Linked DNA regions of Cricetulus griseus. The protein of the gene in region 7 interacts with the protein of the main gene of each other region in a pairwise test. Links are inferred from orthologs where the notes say so. Each region holds a gene or a part of one and is shown on either strand. Other genes may lie near its edges.

Region 1 (4,426 bases), on a different chromosome or scaffold from region 7:
ACAGGTGTACAGGTATGTGTGCAGGTGCTCAAGGCCAGAAGCATTACAATCACCAGGAGCTGGAGTTACAGGCAGTACTGGGAACTAACCTGGGTTCCCTGCAAGAGCAATGTACTTTTTTTTTTTTTTTTTCTAGACAGGGTTTCTCTGTGGCTTTGGAGGCTGTCCTGGAACTAGCTCTTGTAGACCAGGCTGGTCTCGAACTCACAGAGATCCGTCTGCCACTGCCTCCCAAGTGCTGGGATTAAAGGCATGCGCCACCACCGCCCGGCTGAGCAGTGTACTCTTAACCATTGAACCATTGAGATATTGCTGTAGCGCTTGCTCTCATTTTTTGAGTTTTGAAGTTGGAACTTACCGATTGGTTAGAGCCAGTGAGTCCTTGAGATCTGCTGGTGTCTGCCTCCATACCCATAATAGCATGGGTGCTATTGCATGTACATGCACCATGCTCGTACCTTTTACTCGGGTGCTGTGGCATGAACTCTGGTCTTTACACAAGCACTTTACTCAACTGAGCCTTTGTCCCAGCCCAATAGTCAAACATCGAAAAGTTTTTAACTATGATTAACTGATTGGATGCTTTAACAACCAAATAGTTAAATGCTATGAATTCAGAACTAAGCCAGACACTTCTGAAATAGTGGGAAATGTTTTCTTTTTTTAAGATTGTATTTATTATGTATACAGTGTTTGGCCCACATATATGCCTACACACCAGAAGAGGGCACAAGATCTCATTACTGATGGTTGTGAGCCACCATGTGGTTGCTAGGAAGTGAATTTAGGACCTCTGGAAGAGTAGCCAGTGCTCTTAACCTGTGAGCCACCTCTCCAGTCCCTGGAAAATGTTTTCAATCATAATATTTAGCAACATGGACAGAATTTATATTAAGTTATACAATCCCAAGGGTTTCTTGCTTAAAAGTAAATAAGGAGAAATTATTTTCAAATTCCCTAGAGCTATCTATTGGGGAAAAGCCAGTTGTTTCAACTGTAAAATGGCATTAAGCTTAAAACAGGCAGTAATTTATTTGTTCACATTCATAGATAGCTTTATTTGGCTTTTAGAAAAATATATACAACAATCAGAACCATGGTTCTCTTAAATATTTTTAAATTAAAAGTGTACAAGTGAGAAGAGTGTTTCCACAGTCAGAACATCAATACCGTGTAATGCAGTAGACAGGAACTTCTGCAAGTCTAGGAATGTTAAGAACTGAGTAGGAGCAGCTTGTGCTGCCAAGTGGTCAGCGCAGATCACACCTTAACATTTCTCCTTTAGTTTCTATTTGAAAACAGAATACTACATATAGATTTGAGTAAAACAGCTGAATGCTCGGCATATACCAATAGGCATTAATCAAAACAAAACTTGCCATTTCAACTGGCATTCATTTGAATTTGGAAATATTAGGATTACCTGTCAGTCATCGTTCAACTGGTAGCAGATGCAACAAAACTTAGGGGTTTAAGGAGCTTGTTAATGTCATATTTCCAATTAGATTTCAGCTTTCTCAACATTCTTTGGAATGGGTGTTTCTGAAAAGCATTTTAGTTAATTAAGCAGACCATGGAGTTCCAAGTAGTTTGAGAAGCTGAGTATGGAAGCAATAGGAACAGCCTTAGTCTTGTTCCAATTCTGTCTTTTGCCCCACACTGTTGGTGCTTTAGCCTACCCCAGCTACATGGATCCCCCTCCACTGGTTCTAGGGCTTTTCCTGGAGGTCAACCTAATCAATGCACCAACCAGAGGCCAGTCTATCATGAGACTTCCTAGGGACCCTAGAGTCAACATTATCAGCCATCTCTCTTCCCGCTTTTGCCAATTAAGCAAAGCAATGAGACAAGTATCTTTAGCAACATGAAGCTTTGGAAATTGCGCTTATGTGTCTGAATGGGAGGGGATGAGAGAAAACCAGCAGATCATAACTGGAGGTATCATTAAGAGTAAGGAGAGAGAGATGGGTATTTTGTTCTCTGTTCATCTATTTCCTGCTTTGTTTTCTTGATGCAACTAAATATCTCCTTAAATAGTGCTTTGTATTCTGGAGGTGTAGTGGTGGGGGAACTGATGGGCTCTGGGGTAACAGGAGTGGGTTCCCAGCCACTGGCTCCAGCCTCAGACTGGGTTACCAGTCCTGTCAGGTCCCTGGCCGGCAGCTTAGAGGTCTGCACAGCCTTGTGTGACAGTGAGTCCTGCTCCTGCTGGCACTTCTTCAGTAGTTCTTCATACTTCACTTTCAGGGCACTGTACTGAGTGTCCACTTCATGCAGAAGGGAGATACCCCTCTGCTTCACAGCCTTAGCTCTCCTGATGCAAGTCTCTTCATGGCCCTTCACGATATCACCCCCTAACATGCTGCTAAGCATCGTCTCACTGCTGCTGCGCTTGAGTGGTTTTTTATGTGCTTCTGGAGCAGCTAGGAACATCTCTTCCAGCAGGCTCTGGCTGGGCTCCTTGAAAGGAACAAACAGAGAGTCGGGTACCAGCTTCTCAACACCATTCACAAAAGGATGCTCTGACTGCAGCATCTGCCGCATCTCAGCCACCTCTGCCTCCAACTCCAGTGCTCGGGCTCGGTAGGCATCTGTGGCACCCAGCTGCTGCTCTAGTTCACAGTTCTCCTTCAGTACCACCTTATACTCTGCCTCCACGCTCACTCGCTTCTTCCTCTCTAGGCTCAGCTGTGCCTGCAACATTGTCACTGTCTTTTTCAGGTGCTCATTTTCTTCTTCATCAGGGCTTTGTTGGCTTTGCAAGGAAGTGATCTTCTCAGCAAACACGTGGTCATATACAAAGTGTCTATGAGGAAATATGGAAATAATTAAATGTCAATTGATGGTACAAAGGAAGTTGCTGGGGTTTTTAAACTAAATCTTTTTAAAGAGCTGTGACACCAATTTTTAGCTCATTCAATGCTACAAGCAGTGGCTAAAATTAAACTATATGAGGCTGGAAAATTCTTGAAAGCAAATAACAATTTTGTGACTGATCCCCACCCCCTGAATAGTAAAAGTAGTTTAGAAAACTCACTTGTAAACCAGCAGAATGACAGCTGCTTACAAGAAATGTGATGGACAAGAAGAGTCTCATCTCTAGTTGCAGATCACAAACAGCTGGGTAGTTTTAAAAACCTGGAGCTCACACCATTCATTCTGACCTTGTTGGTTTGCTACTTGGATCTACATGGTTTTAAATGTTTGTTCTCCATAATGTGTGGCCAAGGTTAAGAAACATGATGTTTAGACTTTTAACTAGGGATACACATCAGCAGCACTGGGACAGCTTTAGGTTCATGCCAAGAAATTCTGACCTGAGAGTTAGTATCTGCTCTTGGAAAACATCCACAGTGCCAGGTACACACATGCAATGTCAGCACTTGGAAGATGGAGGCAGGGGGATCAGGAGTTTGAGGCCAGCTGGGCTGTATGAGATCTTATCTCAAAAGCCTCAAATCTCTATAAGTAGTGTGACAAAAAGTAAAGGGGGAGAAACATTAACTGGCCTCTCCTATCCCATCTTAGGCAGCTTGAGTGCAATTTTTTGGTTGTGGAGCATCTGACTTCTTGAAAGGTCATGTCTACTTTGGCCATCATTCCTGATGACTGGCACATCAACTGCAGTGTTAACAGGTGTTTAGTAAGTATTTATTAAAGACTCAAATTCATAACTACAAATTATAAGGGCACTTTTTTTAGGTGAAAATACTTTTTTGCCTCAATTTTTGTTCTACCAAAATTTGTCTTCTTTTCTTTTGAGACAAGGTCTCTTCTCCATAGTCCTGGCTGTCCTAGAACTTGCTATGTTTTGGCCTCAAACTCATAGAGTCTGCCCATGCTTCCTAAGTTTTGGGATTAGAGGCATGCACCATCACACCCAGCTTCCAAAATTTTCATTTTTTTCTTTCAGTCTAATGTGAAATATATCCCCCAAATCTATACTGTAGCAGAAGTATTACTAATTTTAAACTAATATTTAACAGATTAAAATGAAAAGAATTATAGATGCCAATAAACTTTCACTGTTACATTTAAGTTCAGTGGCTTTGTTTAAACTACTAATGGCTTAACAGGCAAGGGGCACTTCTTGAAATGGAGCTTTTCATCTATGGTAATCCAGAGTGTATCAATGACATGGGATATTCCCAGCTTGAAAATCCACAACAAGGCAGGCTCTTACTGGCGGAGGTCATACAGCTCTTTCAGACAGGAGAAGCTGGGTGCTGGTTTCTCCCGGTCACATGTCTTCTGCCTCCCTCTTCCTTGGTTGGAAGACTTCAGCTCCTCCACTTGGCTTTGGAGGTGATCAATGTTTGTTTGCAGGCATTCAATTGTTTCCGTCAGGCTGTGAATAAGACACAAGCTGGTTGCTGCTTGTCACATTAAATTAAGATCAAAACCAATGAAGGGGGATTAGGTGTGA
Region 2 (4,171 bases), on a different chromosome or scaffold from region 7:
GAAGGAAGGAAGGAAGGAAAGAAGGAAGCAAAGAAAGGCCAGGCAGTGGCGGTGCAGCCTTTAATCCCAGCACTCGGGAAGCAGAGGCTGGCAGAGGCCAACCTGGTCTACAAAGCTACACAGAGAAACCCTGTCTCAAAAAACCAAACCCCCCCCCCCACTGCCGGGGAAAAAAAAAAAGGCAGCAAGCATCAGGAATGGTAGGAGAGGGAACCAACCTGATAAAATGAAGGTATCCATCCCCTTTTCATACTGCCTCAGGTTTCAATCCAAAATTCTGTGTGTATGTGTGCACCTGTATTTGGGTACTTGGGTGCATATGTGTAGAGGCTAGAGGCCATCTGTTGGGTGTCATTCCCCAATCAGTTCTCTACCTTATTTTTTGAGCCAATGTCTCTGACCGAACCTGGAACTCACAGACTGCTCTAGGGTAGCTGGCCTCACGGGTAGCTCTAGGGTAGGAGACACCTCTCCTGTCTCCACCTCCCCAGAGCTGGGATTACAAACATAAGTCATCGCATCTGGCTTTTATCTGGGTGCTGGGGACTGAATTCTGGTCCTTACTTTTGCAAAAGCAAGGACTTTGCCTTTTGCTGTCTCCATGCCCTACACCATGGTTCTTTTATTCAAAATAGATGTGCAACACGAGAAAGGAAAGCCCAGCCTCCACTAGCCATGTTCTAAGTCGTGACTCACAGCCCATGGAAACCCACTGCTGCAATCCAGCACTGGGGAGGCAAAGGCAGCAGAATCACGGTCATCCTGGCTATAGAACAAGTTTGAGAGTATCATGGGCCACATGAGATCCTATTAAAAAAAAAAAAAAAAAAAAAAAAAAAAAAGGATGGGAAACATAAGACAATCTTGTGAGCTGGGGAGAAAAGAACCATGCAAAGGGCTTCCCCTGGACTACATGTCCTGACACCTGGAGTGCAGGGCTAAGCACAACTATGCTCCCAACAAAGCCTGTGACCTTGAAGCAAAAGACTCAGGTGGCTCTTTGCATGCAACAATCCCCTACACCACTCTCCAAGTCTGAGAGGTGCCAACTAGAGAGCCACTTAAATCTTGTTGCTGGATCTGCATGAAGATTGCAAGATCTGCAGGGATGTATATTTCAGCCTTGGTGTGGCCAGGAATCTGAATCGAGCCCCACACACTAAACTAGTTCAGAATCCAAAGACGGCTTGTACGCTCTATAGGCAGCAGCTGCTGCACACAGTTCTTGCCCTGATGTGCAAAATCCTCCTGGGCCTTCAGCCCTGCATTTCCTCTCAAAACTCACACTTCTCTGCAATCTCCAAAGGTCTCACACCCAGCCTGCTTCTCACCCTTGGAAAGCTGTTTACAGACACAAACCAGGCAGGAAAAACAAAAAACAAAAAAAAAAAAAAACTTCTAAACTTAATGAAACATCTGATTTATACCAAGCTAAAATATGAGTAACACAGAACAACAAACAGTTATGTGAATAAATTTCCCACCAGACAGTTAACATCAACAGGCATGTATCTATTGCTTTTAAAGAAATAACTTACTGTAGTGCTCTGGAATATGACTTTAACTATGTAAAGGTGTGCTGCATTTGTTTGTGCTGAATTTGTTTTATTGGGTAAAGACATGTTATTGTTCCACCTTTCCTGCCTAAGGCACCTGGTTGGTCTAATAAGGAGCTGAACGGCCAATAGCCAGGCAGGAGAGGGACAGGCGGGGCTGGTGGGCGGAGAGAGTAAGGAGGAGGAACCTAGGTTGGAAAGAGGAGTGAGGGAGGAACAAAGGGAGAGGCCCTGGGGCTAGCCAGGCAGCAGCCAGCCAGCCAGACACATAGCAAGCAGGAAAACAGGACGTACAGGATGAAAGGAAGGTACACAGCCCCAAGGCAGAACACAGGTGAAGAGAAACAGGTTAAATTAAGTTATAGGAACCAGAGGGACAAGCCCAAATGAGAACGAGCATTCACCACTAATATTAAATCTCGAGTCATGATTTGGGGGCTGGCAGGGCATGGAAGGCTCTGCCTGCCACACTCTGCACCACACCAGACAGTAGCTCACTTGTCTTTTAGCTTCCCTCAGTTTTCTCTTCAGAGCAGTTAGAATCCTTTGTACTTCCCATAATCTTTCTTCTTTAGATAAGTCCTTTATCCCACCCTGCAGATCTCGATGTAAACAATTCAAAAGAAACTCCTAGAAAACAAAAGGACACGTGGCATGCTGTTCAGTGTCTTGTCATCTCAAAGCAGCACACACAACCCCCACGACACAGCAGCGCTGATTACTCTCTCCACGAGGCCAGCACTGACTTGCAAACCCATCCTCATTTGCTTCACCTGGGAATCAGACGCTCATCATTTGTGTCTAGCAGTTCAATAGCAATTAATTCACCTCCTTTATGTTTCTGCCTCACAGCAACTGCTAAGGAGACGCCAGCAGACAGAAAGCAGGCGTGTGGCCATGTTCATGCAAACACATGTATGCAACCCTCCTATCCAGGCTCTATCTTCCCGCTCTACACGGGCACACACTTACTGGGTTTCTTTTAGATAGCAAAGTACAACAGTGGGAAAGCTCAGGTTCTGAGCTAAATCTTGGTCACATAGTCTAGAAATTATGCCAGAGTAAATTACTAAACTTCCTTTCCACTATAGCACCTTGTCTAGAAAAAGAAACATTTTTGCGCTCCTGGCCGTGGGTGAGTCCTCCCCATGCACTATCTCCAACATTAACGCCAGAGCTCACCCGTTTAAGGTGAGAATACCAAGGCTTTAAAACACTGAACAACTGGCCAAAAGTCAGCGTGACAGGAGTTTGAAATCAGTTCTTACAGTGTAAGAGCCTACGCCATTTCTGCCATGGTTGTTTACTTACATGGTGTGAACTAGGACCAGCTGAAAATGCGCCTCAAAGGGAGGAGTATAGGGCTTGCATAAGGCCCTGGACTGCACCCCCAGGGCCGCACAGAACTGAGTGTGTACCAAAACCTCTGCATCAAGAGGTAGAGGCAGGAGCTCATCGCCTCCTGACCACAGCTCCTCCCTGTGGCCAGCACAGAAGCAGGCAGGGAGAGTAAGGAGAGGGACGGGGTCAAGGCGGGGCCAAGTACACACCTGTCTCCTGATCTCTTCCTTGATGCCTGCCTGGGTCTCTGGCAGTGTGGGCATCGTTGCCATGTTGGACCAACGCAGAGGTCTTGTCACTTGCTTTAGGACCACAGTGCCAAAGAGCTCTTGCACGTGTGTGAAGAGCACATACAGGACACGGTTGCTGATCTGCAGAAAACAGGTTCAGAGTTTAAAAAACTGCTGGGCAGTCTTTACTCCACCTGCACCAGTCACAGCACATCCTTTATTAACCCTGTACAGAGGAAGGAAGTCTCTGAAGCAGGGACAAAACGGGCTACTAACTAACCATCAACTAAGAAGGAAATAGGAAAGCCTGGCTTAAACATGTACTCAAGCACCATAAGGGGGAAAGCCCGTGCAGGGTACAAAATATTACCATCAATTAGCAGTGTCTAATAACCATTTCCATCGTATTCTGAGAGCTCTCTGAATACAGGAGGAGGTGGAGCCCCTTCTTCTGGTGCACACATGCACCAGTGTTCCATGGCTTCCCAGGCTAGGAAGCCAGTACTGCAGGATGGCTCAACAACTAAAAAAAGACATGTTTTCCTTGCTCAAACTTTCTCTTACAATCCCCCTGGAGCTTCTGTGGCCCAGGCATCCACCTTATGGCAATGTTGAGTAACAACATAGTATTGAGCAAATTCTGAAACCCAGGCTAACAAAAATGATATCTGAGAAATTTAAGAAACAGTTGTTTCCCCTGGTGATGGTGGCGCACGCCTTTAATCTAGTACTCAGGAGACAGAAGCAGGTGGATCTCTGTGAGTTCCAGGACAGCCAGGGCTACACAGAGAAACCCTGTCTCCAAAAACAAAACAAAAATTAGAGCTACTGTCTCCTTCATTCTTTTGACACAGAAAAGTGTCCTTACTGTAAAGGCAAACTCAGTCTTTGATAGCATCACTGAGCAGTGATGGAGAGACAGGAGGCGGAGGCCAGGAAGGTGGCTTGGTCACTAAAGTATCTATCGTGCAGGCCAGGAGGCCCAAGTTCAACCTCCATAATCCACGGGGACATGGCAGTGCACAGTTGTAATCCCAGTGCTGG
Region 3 (3,149 bases), on a different chromosome or scaffold from region 7:
ACTAAGAAGCTAATTGCTCCAAAGGCAGTTACCGTCTACAAATCGCTGGTGTTTATGTTAAGCAGGGTATCACCTGGCGGCAGATAGACGTGCTTCTACCTTTTTTTTTTTTTTTCATTTTTTTCTTCTCTATTTTGGGTAGAAATATTTTCAGGAAACTAGATAGAAATGCACGTTCATTTCCCAATAATTCTTAGGCACAACTTACAAAACTGCTGACCGTCACTAAAATATGTCAGCGCATCATGTTATAAAAAATGCAATTCAGAATCGCCACATGTGTATACCCACATGTCTGAATATACCCAAGCGGTAGTACAAGGAGGGTTCTGTGCATTCAAAACGGAGCTGTTTGCAACTGACCTATACCTTTGTTGTGAAAGTTCATCTCTCAAGAACAATGGGAGTTGCTTCTCTTTTGCCTCTAACTACACTAAAACATTTTTGGACACAGGACTCTGCTGCCTACACCTTTCTAAGTGCCAACCAATACCAGGACGGTCTCACACAGGGGTCAGAGAGGACGCTGCTAAGATGTATATGCAGCTACTGAGCATGCGCACAGGGCGGCCACCAGCACCTGGCCAGCACTCCCTCCGATGGACAGAAGCCTGAGCTCCTGTAGGTGGCAAAGCGATGTCATCTAGGTGTGGTGCTGACTCTGGCTGGAGAGGAGGGTCCAGAGGAAGAGCCTCTGTACACCGGGGATGTCGGGGACAATTTAATCGGGCTGGTTGGGTCCCCTGTTTGGAGTTTCCAAAGTAGTTCTTCATTGGTTCTGCTCAGTCTCTTCTTTTCCTGGGTCTCTTTCTCCACGTATTCCTGGAGATTAGCATTTTCCTCTGACAGTTGTCTGCATGGGGGAGAATGATGGTCAGGTAACAGACCTACCAGTGATAATCAAAGCAGGGTGCTGGGAAGAGGACAGGGGCCATACCTCACAGCTCACAGCTCTCTGCTGGGCTAGGGGAGGTGGTGCTTGTGCTCAGGGTAAAGTCTAGGGGCTGGAGTACAACAGAGGGAGATGGTAGGCAGTATGGGCATGCTGCTAGAGGCCCATAGGAAAGCCTGCCTTATAGAGATGGAGACTGCCCATGGCTATGGTCAGGGTACTGACTGACAGCTGCCAATCAGCTGGGGATATCTTCCCATTATCTCCTGCCCTGGGTCCATGCTTCTGTGACCAAAGTCTTTAGCTCTTCTGTGGAGCTACCTGTCTGCTGGACCACAAGCCCTAGAGAGCAAGATCAAGGCTCTGTTACCTTCTTGGCTGCCATTCAGCATGGTACCCAAAACCAGATGCCTTCTCACTGTTTGCTAATAAAGGGGAAAGAAAATCCAATTCTCTCTCTCTCTCTCTCTCTCTCTCTCTCTCTCTCTCTCTCTCTCTCTCTCTCTCTCTCTCTCTGTGTGTGTGTGTGTGTGTGTGTGTGTGTGTGTGTGTGTGTACACGTATGGCATGTAATGTCATAATGCTTAAGCTGCTGACTTTGTTGCATGTTTTTAATACTTTAAAAAAATTATATGTATAGGTGGTCTGCCTGCATGCATGTCTGAGAGCCACTTGTTTGCAGTGCCTTTGGAGGCCAGAAGAAGGTGTTGGATCCCCTGGAACTAGAGTCACAGAGGGTTGTGAGCAGCTATCTGGGTGCCAGGAATCAAACTTGAGTCCTCTTGAAGAGCAGCCAGTGCTCTTAACCACTGAATCACCTGTCTAGTTCATTTTGTATTTTTAACAATGACAGCCTCTTCAAGGAATTAGCATGACGTACAAACACATTTTACAACTGGATAGGTTAAAGTCCAGAAATGGTACTCTGGGCCAACACCTGCACTTGCTATCTGAGGAAGGTGGCTAGGTATGTGTGGACATGTGAATAGGTGGTGTGTAAATGAGTGCATATGTGTGAGAGTATGGGTGTGAATATGAGTGTAGGTGTGAGCATGTGTGTGTATGACTACACAGGAGTGTGTACACAGGAGTGTGTGCACATGGGCTTGTGTGTATATGCACAGGACGATACATAACGGCTGCATGGAGGAGACTGGTCCAGCTGAGAGCGGAAGGGCTCAGGCCTGAATCTCATTAGTGATGTAGAATAATCTTTTATACTGTAAAGCTGTGTCTAAGCCAAGGCACCTTCTAATTGGTTTAACAAAGAGCCGAATGGCCAATAGTTAGGCAGGAGAGGTTAGGTGGGACTTCCAGGAAGAGAGAGAGGAAGAGGAGATGAATCCAGGTGCCAGAAAGATGCCGGAGGACGTGAAGAGGAAACAGGAGGTTCAAGATGGAAGAGAGGTAAAAAGCCATGAAGCAAAACATAGATTAATATAAATGGGTTAATTAAGTTATAAGAGCTAGTGGGAGAAGCCTAAGCTATAGGCCCGGCTTTTAGAATAAATAATAAGCCTGTGCCATTTTGTGTGTGTGTGTGGGGGGGGGGGCAGGAGAGCTGGCTGGCGGGACAGAAAGTGACTGGTTACACACTAGAGTGACTTAGCCTTGCTGAACAAAATAACCTCCAGCTGGCCTCCAAGCTCTGTTTTCACCCCACTACTGGGGTCAAGGGGGATTCCTGATCCTTCCTTGAAAGCAAGGCTCCTGAGAAAAGATCCTGCAGGGACAAGCTAACCTGAGCTCTGGGAATCTACCTAGCCATGGTTCTTTTTAGCCCAGGGACACCCTGCTGATGCCCCTCTCCCAATCTCCAGGAAGCAATCACAGCCCCTTCTGTGGAGCCCCTGCTGTCCTTGCTTGTGGTCGGAACTGTCTTGTCCTAGCGGATGGGGCAGGTGTGACGTACAGCCAGGATGTACACTGAGGGGACACAGCCATGTGCTTTTCTTTTGCTCATTTGAGAGGCATCGGATTATTCAGGCTGAACACGGGGACATGCAGATTTTCAAGGACATGGAATCAGCAGCCAGGGGCACCCACCTGGTGACAACTGTGTTCTGGTCAATCCTGGCTTTGAGGTCTTCATTCTGCTGCTGGAGAACTTGGATCTTTTCTTCTAGGATGATATTCTTCTCCACCTAGGAGAGGGACACCACTGAAGGAACTCCCACAGGCCAGCAGCGAGCCAGCGGCCCTGGCTTCTACACTTGGGAGGATTGCCAGGAACAGTAAGTACTTCACTAACTGCTCT
Region 4 (2,872 bases), about 100 Mb from region 7:
CCGGGACAGACCCCGTGCTCCCCAAGGCGTCTTCAGCCCGCCCCGGGGGACAGAGACTGGAGCTCCATCTTGCACCGGGCAGACACTCCGACAACATGTGAGTGGCTCGGAGCAACGATTCCGACTCCCTTAGCACCAAGACTGCACTCAGCCTACCCACTGCGACCCGCCGGGAGGGAAGGAGGGAGAGAGGGGTGGAACTGGACTGGCCCAGCGGCTGGGACTGGTGGGCAGGCTGTAGACACCAGGCGACAGCTGGAGGGTCCCGGCGGGGGCACTGGGCGTGCGCAAGAAGGGGCTCGTGTCACCTGCGGCTGCTCCAAGCGCACCTCACCCTATGCTGCCCCTGTGTGTCCAGGGCAGGCGGCACCATGAGGCAGAGGGGACGCGCTGCGCTCCTAGTGGCACTGCTGCTCCTGGCACAACTGCGCCCCGGGAGCAGCCAGTGGAGCCCGGCGACTGAGGCGGCGACTGGGGTCCAGGATCCGAATCTGCGATGGAGTCCCGGGGCGCGGAATCAGGGCGGCGGCGCCCGCGCACTCCTCTTGCTGTTAGCCGAGCGCTTCCCGCGCCGCGCGGGATCGGGGACCGCAGGCGAGCGGCAGCGACGAGACGATCCTCCGCTGTCCATCGACCTCACATTCCATCTGCTGCGGACCCTGCTGGAGCTGGCCCGGACACAGAGCCAGCGCGAGCGCGCAGAGCAGAACCGCATCATACTCAACGCGGTGGGCAAGTGATCCGCCCGGTGTGGGACCCCGAAAGGCTCGACCCTTCCCCCTGCCTACCCCGGGGCTGAAGCTCACGCGACCGAAGCTGGCTTAGTCCCTCGGTGCAGTGCCGCCAGAGTCACCCTGAGCACTCTGTGTGGTTATTTTTGTAAAAAAATAAAACTGCCCTAGAGCTTAGCCTCTTTCGTCTGTCGTGGGGAGGCGGGGCGGCAACGGCAACTGTAGAAGGGTGGGAACTCTGGGGGGTAGTGGGGCTCCCCAGGCCGGTAGCAGACACAAGCATGCTAAGCGGGACCGGAGAGGAAAGCTATCAGTTAAGTCCCCGGGGACTCATCGCCCTTCCCCCAGCCCGGAACTCGGGTCCTGAGACCCCACTCCTTTCGAGGTCTCGGGCTCAGGAGTCCACCTCTGGTGTAAAGGAGGTGCTCATCCGGGGGTTATCATCCCCCCTCCACCCCTTCTAGTGATCTCGGGTTGAGAAAGGGCAGACTGATGGCGAGGTTGCTTCTACAGCAGAGACTTGGAGTGGGCAGGGAAAGAAGACGGGACGTAGGACGCAAGATTCTTTTATTGAGACCCTTCCCGGGGGCGGGATGCCTAGCTGGGTTGCGCCGCCGTGGTCTCTGAGCCGGTCCTCAGCATGCCTTGCCTCCCGTTGCGGGCTCGCACTCTGAATCAGGGTCTGGTCAGTGCAGGCCTGTTGCCGGGAAAGGCAGCTTGGTGGGCGGGTGCTGCAGAAGAACACACCCCAGCCCACCCCACCCCCGCGCGCGCGCACGCTCGCACAGCCCCGCGACGGTTAGCTTCCCCCAGGCAGCTGCGTTTGTCCTACTCGCTGACCCACCTGGGTCCCCAAAGCCCGAGCAAAACCAACCGTGGGAAGAGTGCGCTTTTCCGCGCGCGCTAGGGGGCGCGCTTTGCGGCTCCTGTGGCGAGACACTTACCCGAATGGGGGACTACCAGCGAGTCCTGGTGCCCTGGGAAGGCAACCGCCCACCGCTGGCCAATCACTCCTCACCCAAAACCCTCGTCCACCTCTCACCTTCTGGCCCGTCCAGCCGCTCCTCCTCCAGCCCTGCATTGCTCTCGTCCCCTTCCAAAGCCACCTCGTCATCCTCCTCATCCCCCGCGGCGCCTAGGTGGAAGGCAGGCCAGGTGATGTGGAGCCCCTGCTCCTCTGGCTGTAGCGTCCACTTCATACCCTTGGGGCGGGTCCAAACAGTCCCTCCCTCGGCTCCCTCACCCGGCTGGAAGTCGATGGTCCGCAGCATTTCGGCCACGTGCTCCACGTTCACAGAAAATTGCTCCATGCTCTCATAGCCTGGCTCCGGCCGTCCTGCCAGCTCCACCTTCGACATTGCCCCGACCCTGTGACGGCCACAGGGCTCAGCAGGGGAACGCCTCAGCTCCCGCAAGCCCCTCCCCAGATCGGAAGAAAAGAATCCACAGGGTCCCTTCCTTTCCCACCGCACAGGTTGCTCACTTGTTGATCAGCTCCTTGGCCTGCTGCAGGGGAGAAAAGGGGGGCCAAGGTGAGCGCTGGGCCAGCCCCGGCAAAGTCCGATTTCTGATTCTCACCAGTCCTGCGGGGTAGGTGGGGGCGTTTATCCCAATTCGTTAAGGAGAGAACCCAAGTAGAAGGGTGACTTTGCCCAGGTCGTGGTGACAAGAAAGTACCGCAGGTTAAGACTTGACCGGGTTCCCCCGTCCCTGGTTTCTGCCACCCTCCCTCTCCGCTCACCTGGAGGTAGAGAGCCATCTGCGGCTCCTCCATGGATTGAATGGCGGACTCCACCAGCTTAGAGGAAACCTCCAAGTGGTCTCCGTACTGACGGATGAGGCCCCGCACGCGCTGCAGCTTCTCCTCTTGTTCCCGGGCCAGCGCTTGCAGCAGCTCGCCCTTGCGCTCCTCCAGTACGGCGCACAAGGTCTCGAACCTCTGGTTTAACAGTTGCTTCTGCCTGCGGCTGTTGTCCTGGAAGATCAGAGAAAGTCCGAAGGAGGTCGTGGCCCGAGCACCCCCAGAGCTGCCAGAGCAGGGTATTTTATCCCTCTCACCCCTTAAATAGAACTCAGGAGAGCAAAGGAGGAAAGTGTGATTAGGGTCACACTTTGAGTTAGAGGCACAGAACCCAGCTCAT
Region 5 (4,764 bases), on a different chromosome or scaffold from region 7:
TTCTCTGTATATGTAGCTTTGAAGCCTATCCTGGCACTCGCTCTGGAGACCAGGCTGGCCTCGAACTCACAGAGATCCTCTGCCTCTGCCTCCCGAGTGCTGGGATTAAAGGCGTGTGCCATCAACGCCTGGCTGATACTTCCCAATCTTAACAGCAAAGTCAGAAGAGCACAGCAGAGTATCTAACAAGGAAGGGCTAGGGTGTCCAGAGACTCTCAAGGTAGGGCTGAAATGACTGATAAGTAGGGATAGGTAGGCAAAGAAGTACTTCGTTCCTGTGGAACATGGCATCCTGAGAAGGTGAACACAGCCAATCCATGTCCAAACTTTAAGAATGAGACTACAAGAGAAAGAACTAGTGTGTGTACCCAGCTTAGAAATCGCCCTCACAGAGCCCATTCCACATAGAGGGATACTCCCTGAGCCCAGACACACGGGGGCGGGCCTAGTCCCTATCCCAAAGGACACAATAGACTCTGATGACCCCCCCCATGGAAGGCCTCACCCTCCAGGGGGAGCAGAAAGGATATGTGATAGGTAGGGTTTTAGTTGGGGGGGGGGCTTGTAGTGGAGGAGGGCAAGGAGAGGGAACTGGGGTTGACATGTAAAACCATCTTGTTTCTAATTCAAAAAAAAAAAAAAAAAAGGAATCGACCCACAATTTTGACTTGGGGAGCCAGTTCCTGTGTACCCACTTCTGACCTGAATGAGACCTGCTGAGAAGTCAGATCTGTCTCAAGATCAAGATCGTCTCTTGAGTGGATAGTTGAAAAAGTGAAATAAGCCCTGTGGTTTCCCACACCTTCTGTTAGAGGGGACATCAGCGGTGCCCACAGGACATGGGGGCGTGACTCAAAGGACATGGAGAGGACAGGTCTTGGTGCACCGAGGGCAGCAGGGTTGGGCTACGGAGGGCTCCTTCTAAGTCAGTCCTTGGCTCTGGCTTGGTGGGAATTCGGAAAAGGCAATGATGCCTGCCTTGCAGTTGGCACATCCAAGTCTCAAGTTCCCTACTCTGCAGCCCTGCAGCAGCTCTGTGGCACGTGAGGCCGCCAGGAGGAGATGGATGGGCTCGGTGAACTGCGGCCATGGAGACCAAGAAGTGCGCGCGTGTCTGCGCATTTGCAGGAAACAGTCCATTCTTGGTTTTTTGTTTGTTTGTTTGTTTGTTTGTGCCTCAATCACCAGGTAGGACCAGGCCCAGAGACCCAGAGCAGAGAGGTCCTTAGGAGCGACTGACCTAGGGTGGGTTCTGTCGCCAGAAGCCACCCATCTTGTCACTCCTTGGGAGCATCCTTAGGACCCGGTAGCTCACGTCCGCCGTGCAGGAGGCGCAGCAGACCCGGAGCTGCCTCCGGTGAGGCTTGGGCACTTTGTTAACGCGCAAGGAGCCTCCAGGGCTGGTCCCTATGCGGTCCGGAGCCGCGGGGACAGAGAGGGTTTCCGGGCGGCGGCAGGCTGGCACCCGCGTCAGGTGGCCAGGCCAGGCCCCGCCCCCTCGCCCCGCCCTCTCTCCTCCCTGCGCACCGCACCGGGCTCCCGGTCCCCGGCCCCGCGGCTGCGGCTTCTGCTCGGAGGCTGCGGCGGCGGCGGTGGCGGCGGCGGCGGCAGGAGCGGCCATGGAGGCAGGCGGCGCGGGCCGGCGCGGGAGCGCGGGCTGGAGCTGCCCCGGCCCAGGTCAGAGCCGCCCCTCCCTCAGCTCCCCATGCTCCTTCCCCCTCTGCTCTCCTTCCTCCTGACCCCCGGGTGCCCGGGGTACTGAGTCGACTTCCTCCACCCCGGCCTCCATCTTTCGACCTGGGGGTGTCCCCTCCCTAGCGGTCACTCCTCGAGTGCTCCCCACCTCGTCTCTCCAGCCCGACCGTGCTTCCAGCTCGCCAGGGGCGGTGGAAGCAGCGGGGGGGGGGGTCTCGAGCCTGCACCCTTCCAGTTCATAAAAGCTCTTGACCAGGGGGTGAGGGTGGGCTGGGCGAGGTTTGGTGAGGGAGGGGAGGGGAGAGGAGAGGCCTGGGTTGGAGCCCCTTCCCTCCAGGTCCGGCCGCCCCTCCCTTCCCTGCCTTGAGCCACCCGCATCCTCCAAAAACCTTCTTTCTTAGTTCCCATCCTACCCCTCTTCTCCTTGTGCCCCAAGCTACACACTCACCCTCTTTCTGTCTGGGCGGGGAGAGGAGCCGGCGACATCCTGGATCAGGGGTGCTGAGGCTGGGCAGCGCCGCGCTGGGGTCCTCTCCTTAGGCAGAGCATGGGAGGTGGCGAAGGGAGTAGAATCACACAGCTGGACAGCGTGAGTCAGGCTCCTCCAGTGGGATTACAAATTTCGGGGCTCCCAGACAAGAATCCGCGTCCCTTTCTTTCCCCTCAGCCCCCAGCCTCTTTCCAATCCTACAGTGCCTACTTTCTCCTGCTCACAGGACCCACAGTAACCACTTTAGGCTCTTATGAGTTATCTGAGGGTTGTGAGAGGAAGAAAGGCCAACGCTGGGGGTCCCTGGAACGCCGTGGGATGCAAGCTATGGAGGGTGAGTTTTCTGTCGAAAAAAAAAAAAAAAAAAAAAGCTTTTCCATCTTCCATCACCCTACTCCCCAGTTCCCTTCCATCCTACTTCCTTCCCTGACCCCAGAGCTCTGAGGAGCCAGGATACGGCCCTTCCCTCACTTCATCTCAGGCCCCTCCTCCCTGGTGGCAGAGCTCCAAGCCTGTCCTGGGCTCAGGCATTGATGGAAGTTTGGGCACATCCCTTTGGGCTCCAGTCACCCAGCTAACCAGGTTGTGTGTCCTGGGGGAGCTGCCAGACAGACAGAGGTCCTGCTGAAAGGAGCCTGGAAGCAGCCTTTCAGCGGGGCGCTTGTTCTCACTGCCTGCTGACCTGGATCCCAAGCTGTCTCTTATTTTTAAAAGCCAGGACATGGGCGGGCGTGTGAACTGTCTTTCTGATGCCTCCACTGTCAACTTTGAATGGAGCCTTGCAGCTTTAGTAAGAGAGGCTTAGGAGAGATCGAAGTCAACTTCCCACCACCACACCACAGGACAGGGCAGGGAGGATCAACCAGGACTTCTTGTGAAGTGACCCCAGGCCCTTTTACAGTTCAGTACAGGCCTCCCCTAGAGACTCGATAGCATAAGGGGTCTCAGATGAACCATATGCTATTGGTATTAGAAAAAGAAAACCAGAGATTCAGAATTTAAAAACAAAGCAGTCTCCACCAAGACAAGATTGCTATTTACGGGAACTGCATTGCAGTAAAAGAAGTGCTCACCAATCCAAAAATGGGACCAGTACCAATTCAAGATTTTTGGTTTTTTTTGTTTTGTTTTGTTTTTGGTATTTGTTTTCTAAGACAGGGTTTCTATGTATAACAGCCCTGGCTGTCCTGGGACTGGCTCTGTAGACCAGGCTGGGCTTGAACTCACAGAGACCTGCCTGCTTCTGCCTTCCAAGTGTTAGGATCACACCTGGCTCAATTCAGTGTTTGGTTTTTTTTTTAATAATTTTACTTTTACTTTATGTGCATTGGTGTTTTGCCTGCATGCATGTCTGTGTGAGGGTATCAGGTCCCCTAGAACTGGAGTTACAGACAGTTGTGAGCCGCCTGTGGGTGCTGGGAATTGAACCCAAGTCCTCTGAAAGAGCAGTCAGTGCTCTTAACTGCTGAGCCATCTCTCCAGCCCCTCCAATTCAGTTTTTAAGATATGTCAACAGTACTGGAGGGATGGCTTAGCAGTTATCTTGTGTTTGATTCCCAGCACCCACATGGGAGCTCACAACCATCCTATAACTCCTATAACTGACCCCCAAGGCTACTGCATGCACACTATAGACAGACATACAAGCAGGGAAAACACCCAGATGCATAAAATAAATAAATATTTTTTAAAAAAATGTGTTTGGATGGCAGGCTTTCTTTTATGCATGAGTTCAGTTTCAGACTTACCCTGAAAACCAACTTGGGTCAGCAGGAAAGAGGTGGCACCCAACAGGAATAAAAGTTAGTGTAGAAATTTTCAAAGTCGGGGCTGGAGAGATGGCTCAGAGGTTAAGAGCGTGGACTGCTCTTCCAGAGGTCCTGAGTTCAATTCCCAGCAACCACATGGTGGCTCACAACCATCCGTTATGAGATCTGGTGCCCTCTTCTGGTGTGCAGATATACATGGAAGCTGAAATGTTGTATACATAATAAATAAAATCTTTAAAAAAAAAAAAAGAAATTTTCAAAGTTATTTGATAGCTTGCTTTTGAAAGGGTTCCCACATTTACCCAGTAAACAGCTCAGAGCCATTCCCTTCCAATGTTTTCCTTCTCCACTACAGGCCAAGCCAGTACTTTCCTATTATTAAAAGGCCACCTGGATGTGGGTTTTTTGCTTGTTGCCTTTCCAACCTTGCCCGATTTGGCCTAAATACGCAGCTGTGTCTGAATGTCTGAATCCTTTCTTAACTCCTTGTCCCATTACCCTGTGATCATACTGGAAGTTCCAGGTGTCCTTATGCTACCAACTTCTTGTAGATGAGCCAGGGTGGTGCTGTAAAGGCAGGAGACATTCAATATTAGGAGCTTGGAAGGGGGAAAGGGTACTTCCAAGTCCGACCCACCAGTGCCTCACTGTGAGTTAGGTCCAGCCCAGGGGATCCTGAGAGGACACTGGGTGGCACTCTTCTACTATCCAGTCCCCGGGTGGTAAGATGCAGGACTCTGGAAGGACTGTTGAGGGAAATGGCCATTGACTCTCCGGTGGGATGGTTGTCTCTCCTAGGGGAGGTGCTAC
Region 6 (4,171 bases), on a different chromosome or scaffold from region 7:
CAGGAAATGTATTTGTGTGTATATATAAGTGGGCCTTGTATAATCACTTGAAGGCTAGAATATCTCACACACACACACACACACACACGTGAGAGAGAGATCATATTTTAAAAAGAAAGATTTACTATAAGGAATTGGCTCATGCAATTAATGGAATCCCATGACTATCAGTTAGCAATTTGAGAAGAGACCCAGAATTGTAGTTCCAAAGCCCTAGAAGGCTGACACTTTGGATCAAACCTAAAGGTAGGAGAACTAACCAAAACCAAACAAAGTATGTTAAAAGCATGCATTAGAAATTCCCCCTGGGTCTTTTTGTTCTGTAAGTGACTGGATGAGATCCACCTACCACAGGAGTACAATGTATTTGTCTGCCATTCATTCACCCACAAGTACACTGTTTAACCAAGCATCTGGGCAATGTAAAGCCCAATCAAGCCGACACATAAAATTAGCACTCAACATAATCACTACCTAAATCCAGTAACTGTTAACATTTTCCTAGCTTGGCTCACTCTGTCTGCAGGGTCAGCTAAATCAAGCTATCATCATTCTTTACCCTCAAATAGTAAAGCATGCATCTCTTAAAAGCTGGTATAGTCTATACAATATAGTGCCACTGTCACACTGAAGAAAACTGACAACTCCTTAATATCACTGATATCTGAGCTGAAGTTTTAATATCTTATTATGTATACTATTTGACTCTCTAGATGTGATGATGAGCACTACAATAGGGACCACCCAAAGACAGGTAAAATAGATCATTCTTTCAACCTTGTTTGTTTTCTCTCTTATTTTACCTCTTTAATTAACTTCAGAGCCTTTTAGAAAGTGTTTTAATGAGGTCCCAGGTCTGTCAGATGGCCTGAGTTTAGGTATTACCTGCCCCCTGTCTCTGCCCTTTCTTAACACCTTGCGTGGTATTTAAAAAACAAAACACACATAATAAAAGTAATTCCCCATTTATCAACATGAAGTCTATCCTATTTAAGAAATCATCATCAAGTATGAAGATGAGGGCCAGTGACATGGCTTGCTTACCACCAAGCTGAGTTCCGTCCCCAGAACCCACATGGTCCACCCACAAGTTGTTCTCTAACCTCCACATGTACACCAGGAACCCATGCATGCACAAACACACACAAGCGTACACACACACACACACACACACACACACACACACACACACACACACGAATCGTGACGATGAGATCAGCATTTTATCTTGAATTTCTGTCCTGTGCATACTTCAAGCTGCAACTAATGGGTCTCCTGGTAATATGACTTCAGAGGTTATTTAGAAGGCTTTTAGTTTTCATGAAAATATATTTCAGGGGGCTGGAAAGATGGCTCAGCAGTTAAGAACACTAGTTGCTCTTCCAGAGGACCTGGGTTCAATTTTCAGCAATTTTCAGTTGTAACTCTAACTATTGTTCCAGGGGATCTGACACCATCATACCAATGCACATAAAATAAAGTTAAATAAATTATTTAAAAATATATATTTCAATATTTAATTTCAATTATATATAAACTCATGATTTTAATGGAAGAATTAATTCCATCAGAATTTTTACAGGTGACAATTTACATTGTCCTGTATGAATTAACTACCTTTTTGATAATTAGCAGTAAAAGATATAGTAACAATGTAGAAACCATAAAGTAACTTAAAGCAATTCCCGCAGAGATAAGAATTTTTAAAAGAACAGGAAAAGCCTTTAAGAAAATTCCATTGCTTAATTAATTAATTAAATTCATCTTAGCTTTTCCTGTTCTCTGATCACCTTTAGATTGCTTTAAACAACAACAACACAGGGAGTTTATCAGTGTCAGTGAGCTCTCTGAATGACATGAATTACTGCTTTTCTTTTAAGGCAGAAACAAAACAAAATTAAAAAGGACAAAGAAACATCTGTCAATCTAGCAAATGCCAGAAAAAGAAAAGAAAACCAAAGAGTAGAGCAGGAAACCAAGTATATGAAAAGCAGTAAGATGCCAACAGTAAGAGTGAAATAAGAGCTGGTCTCCACACACACAGGCTCTCATACTAAGCCCATGCAAGCAAATGAAAGAGTCCCAGTTACATACTCACAGAGAAACAGCTAAAATAAAATTCTCATAAAGTTGCCTAGATCTTATTCACAACAGCAATGAGAGTCATTAAATACCTAGAAAATAAACCTGACAAGAAATACACCTAAACTAAATTTAAAATATATAAAACTTTAATCTCAGCATTTGGGAGGCAGAGGAAGATGGATCTCTATAAATTTGAGGCTAGCCTGGTCTACATAGCAAGTTTCAGGACAGCCCAGAACTTCAGAGAGAGACCTGTCTTAAACAAACAAACACCAAACATTTCTAAATGGCTGGAGATCACATGTTCAAACACATGAACCTATAGGGGGCATTTCCCATTCAAGTCACAACACAATGCCATTATATATGGGATTTTGCAGATTTAGGCATCCACAAGTATCCCAGAACCAAGCCCCCACAGATACCTAGAGCTGTCTGTATACAAACATTCCTTACCAAGTGGCAACAAATTATACTGCATAAAACCAAGGATCTTCACAAACACCAGTCTTTTCATCAGCTATTCAATACCTGAAAGTATCTCTGGTCAACTAGAACCTGTTGATGGCTGTCTTTGCTGGGCTCATCTTTTTTCTCCGTGTAATCAGTCTTTTTTTGACCAGTAAGCGCTTGTAATCTAAAGGAGGAGGAAAAGTCAATAAAAATGTTTTCTTAGAAGATTAAAATAACTAAGTCAATGACAGAGCTGGCCTCCCCCAAAACCTTGTTTTTTTTTATTTATATGTGTGTGTGCACCCATGTGCAAACTTTATGTATGTATGTATGTAAAGTGTAAACCATACGGCCCCTGGAAAAGTTCCAATACATCACAAGTAAGAAGTAATCTCTAAACACGAGGGCTCTCCCAGATCAGAGGCATCCCTTTGGGCCCAGGGAAGAGTAAGGAGAGAGGTGTCTCTCCAAGGAATGCTTCCATTTACTAGACAGGGTCAGATGGATTTGACCCTAACCAAGATCACATCAAATCCTCTGCTCTACTTCTTAGAAAACTAAGTAAGACGGACCCTCAGAGTCATAAGGAAAAGGTTCTTTTCTCCCTATCCAGGGCTGGCCAGAACGCCCACTAAGTGATTGGAAATCTTGGCCTCTAGGAGCAATTTAAACTACAATACCATCATTCCGCTCAATCTGCTTTGCAAGCAAGAGGGAAAATGGACTGCTATCCCATATATTCAATTTGTCCTTTTACTTGAAGGATCACCCTTAATTGGCCCAAGTATGTAAAATGTACCCCTATACTTTGGCTGTGATATGATCTCATCTAAAAAAACGAGTCAGCAGGCAAGAACAAGTCTTCAAATCCTACAAAGTATCCAAATCCCCAAATTCATGAACTGCCCAACATGACTGTTTCCACCCCTGTAAGTCTTCTGGCTATCCATCCCAATCTGCAGCCCTTTAGACAGAGCAGACCTCTTCCCAGTGTGGAAACGCTGTCCCCAGATGTGCCCCCTTTTCTTCCACAAGACATGTTTTCAATTAGGCAGATCTCCAGAATGGAGTCTGGGACAACCTATGTGCATGGCTCCTTTCTCTGTCTATACTAAAAAAGAGACCTGGGGAGCTTTATTGGCAGCCCAGTTGGGTATGTCCAAACCTTTGGAGAGCAAGCCAACTTTGTGATTTCACATGCTGTTGTTAGAATAAACTCTAACACTTCTAGAAAGGTAAGTGATACGTTAGGACATCCATGATGGAAATGACTTTTACACTTCCAGGGAAATAAAGGTATCCCCCAACTTCCCACTGGTAAAGAGGCAGTTCTAATCCAATCCCAAATTCAATCCAGAAGATCAAGGGAAAGGATGGATTTGGGGTACTCCTTTACTGCAACCTAGAAGGTCTCAGAAAGTCAGCAATTAAGCCCTTAAACGATGCCCAACTGACAACAGTAAGTCAGAAGGTAAGGAGATTTCCATGATATGCTACCAAAGATATCAAGAGGCTGTAAAATATATACTAATATAGAACCAGGGTCATAGGAAGAGATCATACAACATGATAAATGCCCGACTTGATTAGCCATGTATATAACTCCAAAAATTGGTGACTGAACCAGGCAAGC
Region 7 (4,758 bases):
CAAGCTAGGCTAGAGCTTGCTGGGTGAAAACAGTTCCCACCATTAGACATTTGGAAACAGATCAGTGGGCCAATTTTTATAATTTATGGAAAAGAACAAAATTCAGTAGCAAGTTCTGACCCACGGGTAATGAAATCCTAACTTGAACAGCTTGAAAATAAGATTTATGATGAGTGTAGTTATCTGCAGAAATAGAAACTTTAATTAATGTGAAAATTTTATAGATAGACAAGAAAGTTTAATTAAAAAATTTGTGTTGTTGGGGTTCCAACCTGGGCCTTGCACATGCTAGGCAAGTGCTCTGACACTCAGCTATGTCCCTAGCCCTTAGAGAGAAAAATGTAACCAGTTGAAGGTTAGGTTTAAAAACAACAACAACAAAAGAATAAATAATGCCAGAATGAGCATTTACTCAATCAACTTAAAGACTCTTTTAACAGGAAAAACTAGAAAGAAGTGTTTCACTCATTTCCCATTAGGGAAAAACAGAGCACAGGAGGTTGGAAGCTCATAATATGTATTTTTAGATGTTAGGTTTGGTTCAAAGTAGGACGAAAAGAATTATTTTATTTAGTAGGAAGTGCTGATTTTTAGCTGAATTTGCTATCTTGTGGCTGTGATGACTGAGTGACTGTCACTGGAAGACATCTGGGTTTTTGTATCAAGGCCAGACTTGGCTATTACATTAACAAGAAAATTAAAACTTACTGTTGCAGGAGCTGGGGTGGGAGGTGGGGCATAAGATGGTCTTTCTGTTTGAAAGAAAATAAATAACTTCTTGTAAACAACTGAGATATAATACTATGCAACAAAACTACCAATGGTCCTGTTTTGAAGAAAAAAAAATGAGAGTATTTTGGAATTCCCATTCGCTAGGGCATTAGTCTTGTATTAACACAGATTGATAAATATAAAAATTGAAACTTACTTGACATTTTGGAAGATTAAGTTCTCAGTTCCTTAAGAATGAATCTGAGACACTAAAATAAAAAAAAAGAAAAAAAAGAAAAAAAAAGAGAATCAAAACTCAGCAAGCATAAGAGAATGTTTTCCTAAAGAATAGGGTAGTTTGATTGGTATTTCTGAGCAAAATTACTTCACTGTTAATCACTAGTAATCAAGCCTTTTGCATATTTTTTAACTAGTTCTTGTAGTCATTTGATTGATCAGAATTAAATGATGAAAATAAGTTACTGGGAAATTTAGAGTTATATTAGAGATGGATTTTTAGGTTTTTGCTTATGATATTGAGCCACGTCTTATATGGAAAACATTTTGCTGATGCCATGCAAACGTTTACTTAGACTGGTAAAAAAAAATAATGACAATAGAATGTGATGTATTATCAGGGTGACCCCAACAAGGCCTACCAGATACTGACAAATTCCTGATCAGCAGCTCTGCTTCTTTTAGGGGACACTGTTTATTGACGCAGAGCAATGTCCTATTCCTGGAAGTAGTGTGAAAGATAATCTGGTATAAAAACAAACTTTACATTGTCTTTTATTGGTAAATAGTTTTGTAAGTACTGGGGCAAATTTTTAGTCTACTTGGATGACTCGTATTGGTCCTTTACAGCCCATTTAAAAAATTATCCCAGGTATTTTCCTGATAAATTATCTGGGCAGAATAATTGCATCTTCTCTGTATCAGATAGGGATATGGCTAGGTTTTGTCTTGAAAGAGAGGAGGGATTGTCTAATTTATTACTGTATTGCTCAAACCTAGCCCAATTCTTCATAAATTTGGTCCTAGTGTTACCAGCTCACAACATGGACAGATGTGAGCTCGATCCTTACTCTACATACACCACAAATGGTGATGAAAAAACTATGACTTCTGGAGCACTTTCATCCAACACTATGTAAAACAAAATACTTTTTTTTTTCTTCTTCTACTTTTCAATTTAAGAAAATGCCTCAAATCATCAGGGTAAGAGTTCTGATGTGGAAGCAGCTTAGGTTTTCAACCCAGGCCTCTCTTTTCCTTCCATCAACACCTAGTAGGCCTTGCAGTGGGGAGCCCCGACAGAAACTGTAACAATGTCCGTGCTACCTTACACTTCACTGCGAATATGTTCAAATGATTGCTCTCCTGGGCTAAGATAATATAAACTCTTAAGAGTGGATCTAACCCTTGTGCCTAGCACGGAACTCAGTATTTGCTGAATAATTAATTACCTTACAAGGTAGGCTTATGACACAGTCTCGCTCACTACTCACAACCACCCTACCAGATACATACGGCTGTCCCCATTTTACAAATGAAGAAACAGTCTCAGGGCGATGAAGATAAAATGTCTAAAGCCAGAGGTGGATTTAAACCCAACCCACACCGTCCCGGAGTTCACTCCTCACTCCGGGCCACCCCGGGAATCATCAGGTCGCTGCCTGAACCAAAAAGGGGAACCACCTTCCTTCCAGGTGGGTGAGGAACCCCGCTGGCCTTGCCCGGAGGGCTTCCGGAGGTCCAAGGAGTTTGTGGCCCAGGATGAGCTTTTCTGGCAACCCCCCCGCAGGAGGGTGTGCATCGGGGCTCGGCCGGCGTCGGGGGTCCGGCGGAAAGGGACAAGCGGCGCCTCGGAGCAGCTGTCCCGGACGGGGCTTCTTTGCGACCCCGCCGCCGCTAGGCCTCACAGAGGCCGCACGGGCCCTAGTTCCCGCCTCGGAGCTGAGCCCGATCCCCAGCACCCCGCGGGAACTCGGGGTCCCGCCAAGCCGACACACCGGCGCTCGCCACCCTCCCCGACCGGGCTGGGCCCACTTGGAAACACTCACCCGCGGGCCGAAAAGGCGCCCGCAGCTCCGGCTTCGCTTCCCTTTGTCCCGCGCTCGCCCCGCCCCTCGCGCCGGAGCTTCCGCGCTCGCACTTTCCACACGCTCCGGGATTTCTCCGCGGGCCGCGGCCGGCTCTCCTCAGGCGATCGGGTCTTCCAGGGAGGACTCGGCGAGGCTTAGTGCAGCCGAGGATTTTTTTTTCCAGGCTCCACACTCTCCTCAGAACTCTTCCAGTTTGGGTCCCGTCCCAGCCGGGCGCCGATTCGTCACGGCGAGGAGGGCGGAGTAGGCCCGGCCGCGTTGCTTCAGCTGCTGGTTCGCGGCCGGGCGGCAGCCACTGCGCCGCGAGCGCGGCGGGGATTCCGTCTCCGAGGCGGTGGTGCCGCCGTGTGAGACCCGCGCCGGGCGAAGGCGCGCCGGAGCCTCTCGCGGGAGAGGGCGGGACGCAGCTCCCGCACCCCGGCGTCTCCCTTCGCCGTGGTCCTCACTACGCCGCTGCAGGATGGAGGAGGGTGGAGGCGGGGAGCACTCGGGTCGCCGCGATTAGGTCCTCGCCGGCGCCCAGCAGGGCTCCCTGCCTCTTCAGCCTCAGCGAAAAGCAACACGGGAGTTTTGTAGTTTTCCAGATGCTTCTAGAGGCTGAGTGATGGCGACGGGTTTCTGAGCTTAGGGCCCGCAGCTGGCAGCTCACTCTCACCAGGTCGCATACCTATGACAATTTACATTTCTTTCCAGGAGAACCAATTCAGCTTAGCCTGGCTTCAGACAGCCAAGCTCAACTGTTTCTTTATGATGCCCTCCTGGAACTTTCCCAGGCCAGTCCTTTCTTTGTAGTCCTGTGTCTTGAGATCCTCTGTATGGGACTCGGCCATCTGTTAATTTTGGAAAGTCTTGGGAACTAAGGTTCAGACATCTGGACGGGACCGTTTTATAATTACCCTTTGGTTTCTAAGGGCCAGGCTGGTAATTAGGTGCTCAGTAAGTGTGTGTAGAGGCACCTTTCTGGACCATTCCAAGGGCCTTTTTTTTTTTTTTTTTTTTTTCTAATTCCAAGCACTTAGGCGGACTATAGGAAGTATAGAAACACTTAGCTGAGGTGAGTCTGGGTGGAGGAAAAATGAACAGATGACCTGTGGTTATCTAAGGACAAAGTTATCACTTAGAGAAACTGGCTGAATACTGGGACTACCTGTTTTCCCTTATCCTGGTTGTGACAACAGGAAATGAGGTATCTTTAGAAGAAGTCTGTAGTGTCAGGGGTAAGTGATAATACTGTCCCGTTCTTCCGTGGCTCAGCATTTTCATACTCATGAGCAGAAATGAACGAGATGAGAGAGCACATTGAAAGACTAAAGGAGAGTTTTCAGATGAGTGGTCACAGCAGGGGTCCAGGATCTTTAGCTCTGCTCAGCAACTCCAGCCTTGCTACTTCCCTGCTTTGGCGATTGTGGGGGTGGAGTGATAGAAAAGGGGATGTGTGGGGGAGGAACCGTGTGTGGTGATATTTTGTTTGTGCTCCACCAAATAAAGCTTGCCTGAAGATCAGAGGGTGGAGCTAGCCACTAGTTAACCATAGAGGCCAGGCAGGCGTGGTGGTACACACCTTTAATCCCAGAATTTGGGAGGTGGAAGTGGGAAGATCAGGAGTTCAAGGCGACACTGGGGTACATGAGATTTAACCGTTCTAAAAGAGAAACAGAGCTCACTCCTTTAATCCTAGCACTAGGGAGGTGGAGACAGGAAGTGATATGGCAGAGCAGAGAGAGAAATATAAGGCTGGAGGAGACAGGAGCTCAGCCCATTCATTCAGTCTGAGGATTTCCAGAGACAGGAATTTGGTCTGAGACTTTGTAAAGGTAAGAACTAGTGGCTGGCTCCTTTACTTCTCTGGTCTTTCAGCTTTAACCCCCTAATATCTGACTCTGCGTTTTTATTATTAAGACCAATTGTGTGTGTGTGTGTGTGTGTGTGTGTGTGTGTG

The links.
Region 1: the proteins of SWI/SNF-related matrix-associated actin-dependent regulator of chromatin subfamily E member 1 (region 7) and Cdr2 interact in binary tests that used the Homo sapiens proteins (3 or more experiments, as listed by UniProt). The two-hybrid records come from large-scale screens. The link is inferred for Cricetulus griseus from reciprocal best matches to the Homo sapiens genes SMARCE1 and CDR2.
Region 2: the proteins of SWI/SNF-related matrix-associated actin-dependent regulator of chromatin subfamily E member 1 (region 7) and Ralbp1 interact in binary tests that used the Homo sapiens proteins (3 or more experiments, as listed by UniProt). The two-hybrid records come from large-scale screens. The link is inferred for Cricetulus griseus from reciprocal best matches to the Homo sapiens genes SMARCE1 and RALBP1.
Region 3: the proteins of SWI/SNF-related matrix-associated actin-dependent regulator of chromatin subfamily E member 1 (region 7) and Mtus2 interact in binary tests that used the Homo sapiens proteins (3 or more experiments, as listed by UniProt). The two-hybrid records come from large-scale screens. The link is inferred for Cricetulus griseus from reciprocal best matches to the Homo sapiens genes SMARCE1 and MTUS2.
Region 4: the proteins of SWI/SNF-related matrix-associated actin-dependent regulator of chromatin subfamily E member 1 (region 7) and Trim54 interact in binary tests that used the Homo sapiens proteins (3 or more experiments, as listed by UniProt). The two-hybrid records come from large-scale screens. The link is inferred for Cricetulus griseus from reciprocal best matches to the Homo sapiens genes SMARCE1 and TRIM54.
Region 5: the proteins of SWI/SNF-related matrix-associated actin-dependent regulator of chromatin subfamily E member 1 (region 7) and Ccdc136 interact in binary tests that used the Homo sapiens proteins (3 or more experiments, as listed by UniProt). The two-hybrid records come from large-scale screens. The link is inferred for Cricetulus griseus from reciprocal best matches to the Homo sapiens genes SMARCE1 and CCDC136.
Region 6: the proteins of SWI/SNF-related matrix-associated actin-dependent regulator of chromatin subfamily E member 1 (region 7) and Cep70 interact in binary tests that used the Homo sapiens proteins (3 or more experiments, as listed by UniProt). The two-hybrid records come from large-scale screens. The link is inferred for Cricetulus griseus from reciprocal best matches to the Homo sapiens genes SMARCE1 and CEP70.

The regions. Positions count from the first base shown.
Region 1 is NC_048596.1:79,700,906-79,705,331, reverse strand, and holds the end of Cdr2 (cerebellar degeneration-related protein 2), read right to left. Parts: intron 4,349-4,426; coding exon 4,184-4,348; intron 2,807-4,183; coding exon 1,945-2,806; 3' UTR 1,030-1,944; downstream 1-1,029.
Region 2 is NC_048595.1:454,802,040-454,806,210, forward strand, and holds part of Ralbp1 (ralA-binding protein 1), read right to left. Parts: intron 3,269-4,171; coding exon 3,107-3,268; intron 2,187-3,106; coding exon 2,055-2,186; intron 1-2,054. UniProt on the Homo sapiens protein: Multifunctional protein that functions as a downstream effector of RALA and RALB. As a GTPase-activating protein/GAP can inactivate CDC42 and RAC1 by stimulating their GTPase activity.
Region 3 is NC_048597.1:84,168,403-84,171,551, reverse strand, and holds part of Mtus2 (microtubule-associated tumor suppressor candidate 2), read right to left. Parts: intron 3,037-3,149; coding exon 2,939-3,036; intron 854-2,938; coding exon 640-853; 3' UTR 1-639. UniProt on the Homo sapiens protein: Binds microtubules. Together with MAPRE1 may target the microtubule depolymerase KIF2C to the plus-end of microtubules. May regulate the dynamics of microtubules at their growing distal tip.
Region 4 is NC_048600.1:13,245,196-13,248,067, forward strand, and holds part of Trim54 (tripartite motif-containing protein 54), read right to left. Parts: intron 2,707-2,872; coding exon 2,473-2,706; intron 2,238-2,472; coding exon 2,215-2,237; intron 2,100-2,214; coding exon 1,975-2,099; intron 1,867-1,974; coding exon 1,774-1,866; intron 1,429-1,773; coding exon 1,418-1,428; 3' UTR 741-1,417; coding exon of another isoform or gene 359-740; 3' UTR 98-358; coding exon of another isoform or gene 1-97. Other genes in the region: Ucn (urocortin), read left to right, coding at 1-97, 359-740. UniProt on the Homo sapiens protein: May bind and stabilize microtubules during myotubes formation.
Region 5 is NW_023276806.1:198,421,008-198,425,771, reverse strand, and holds the start of Ccdc136 (coiled-coil domain-containing protein 136), read left to right. Parts: upstream 1-1,567; 5' UTR 1,568-1,619; coding exon 1,620-1,677; intron 1,678-2,411; coding exon 2,412-2,519; intron 2,520-4,752; coding exon 4,753-4,764. UniProt on the Homo sapiens protein: May play a role in acrosome formation in spermatogenesis and in fertilization.
Region 6 is NC_048597.1:207,716,295-207,720,465, reverse strand, and holds part of Cep70 (centrosomal protein of 70 kDa), read right to left. Parts: intron 2,723-4,171; coding exon 2,617-2,722; intron 1-2,616.
Region 7 is NC_048600.1:113,343,363-113,348,120, reverse strand, and holds the start of SWI/SNF-related matrix-associated actin-dependent regulator of chromatin subfamily E member 1, read right to left. Parts: upstream 2,917-4,758; 5' UTR 2,778-2,916; intron 981-2,777; 5' UTR 936-980; coding exon 929-935; intron 753-928; coding exon 709-752; intron 1-708. UniProt on the Homo sapiens protein: Involved in transcriptional activation and repression of select genes by chromatin remodeling (alteration of DNA-nucleosome topology).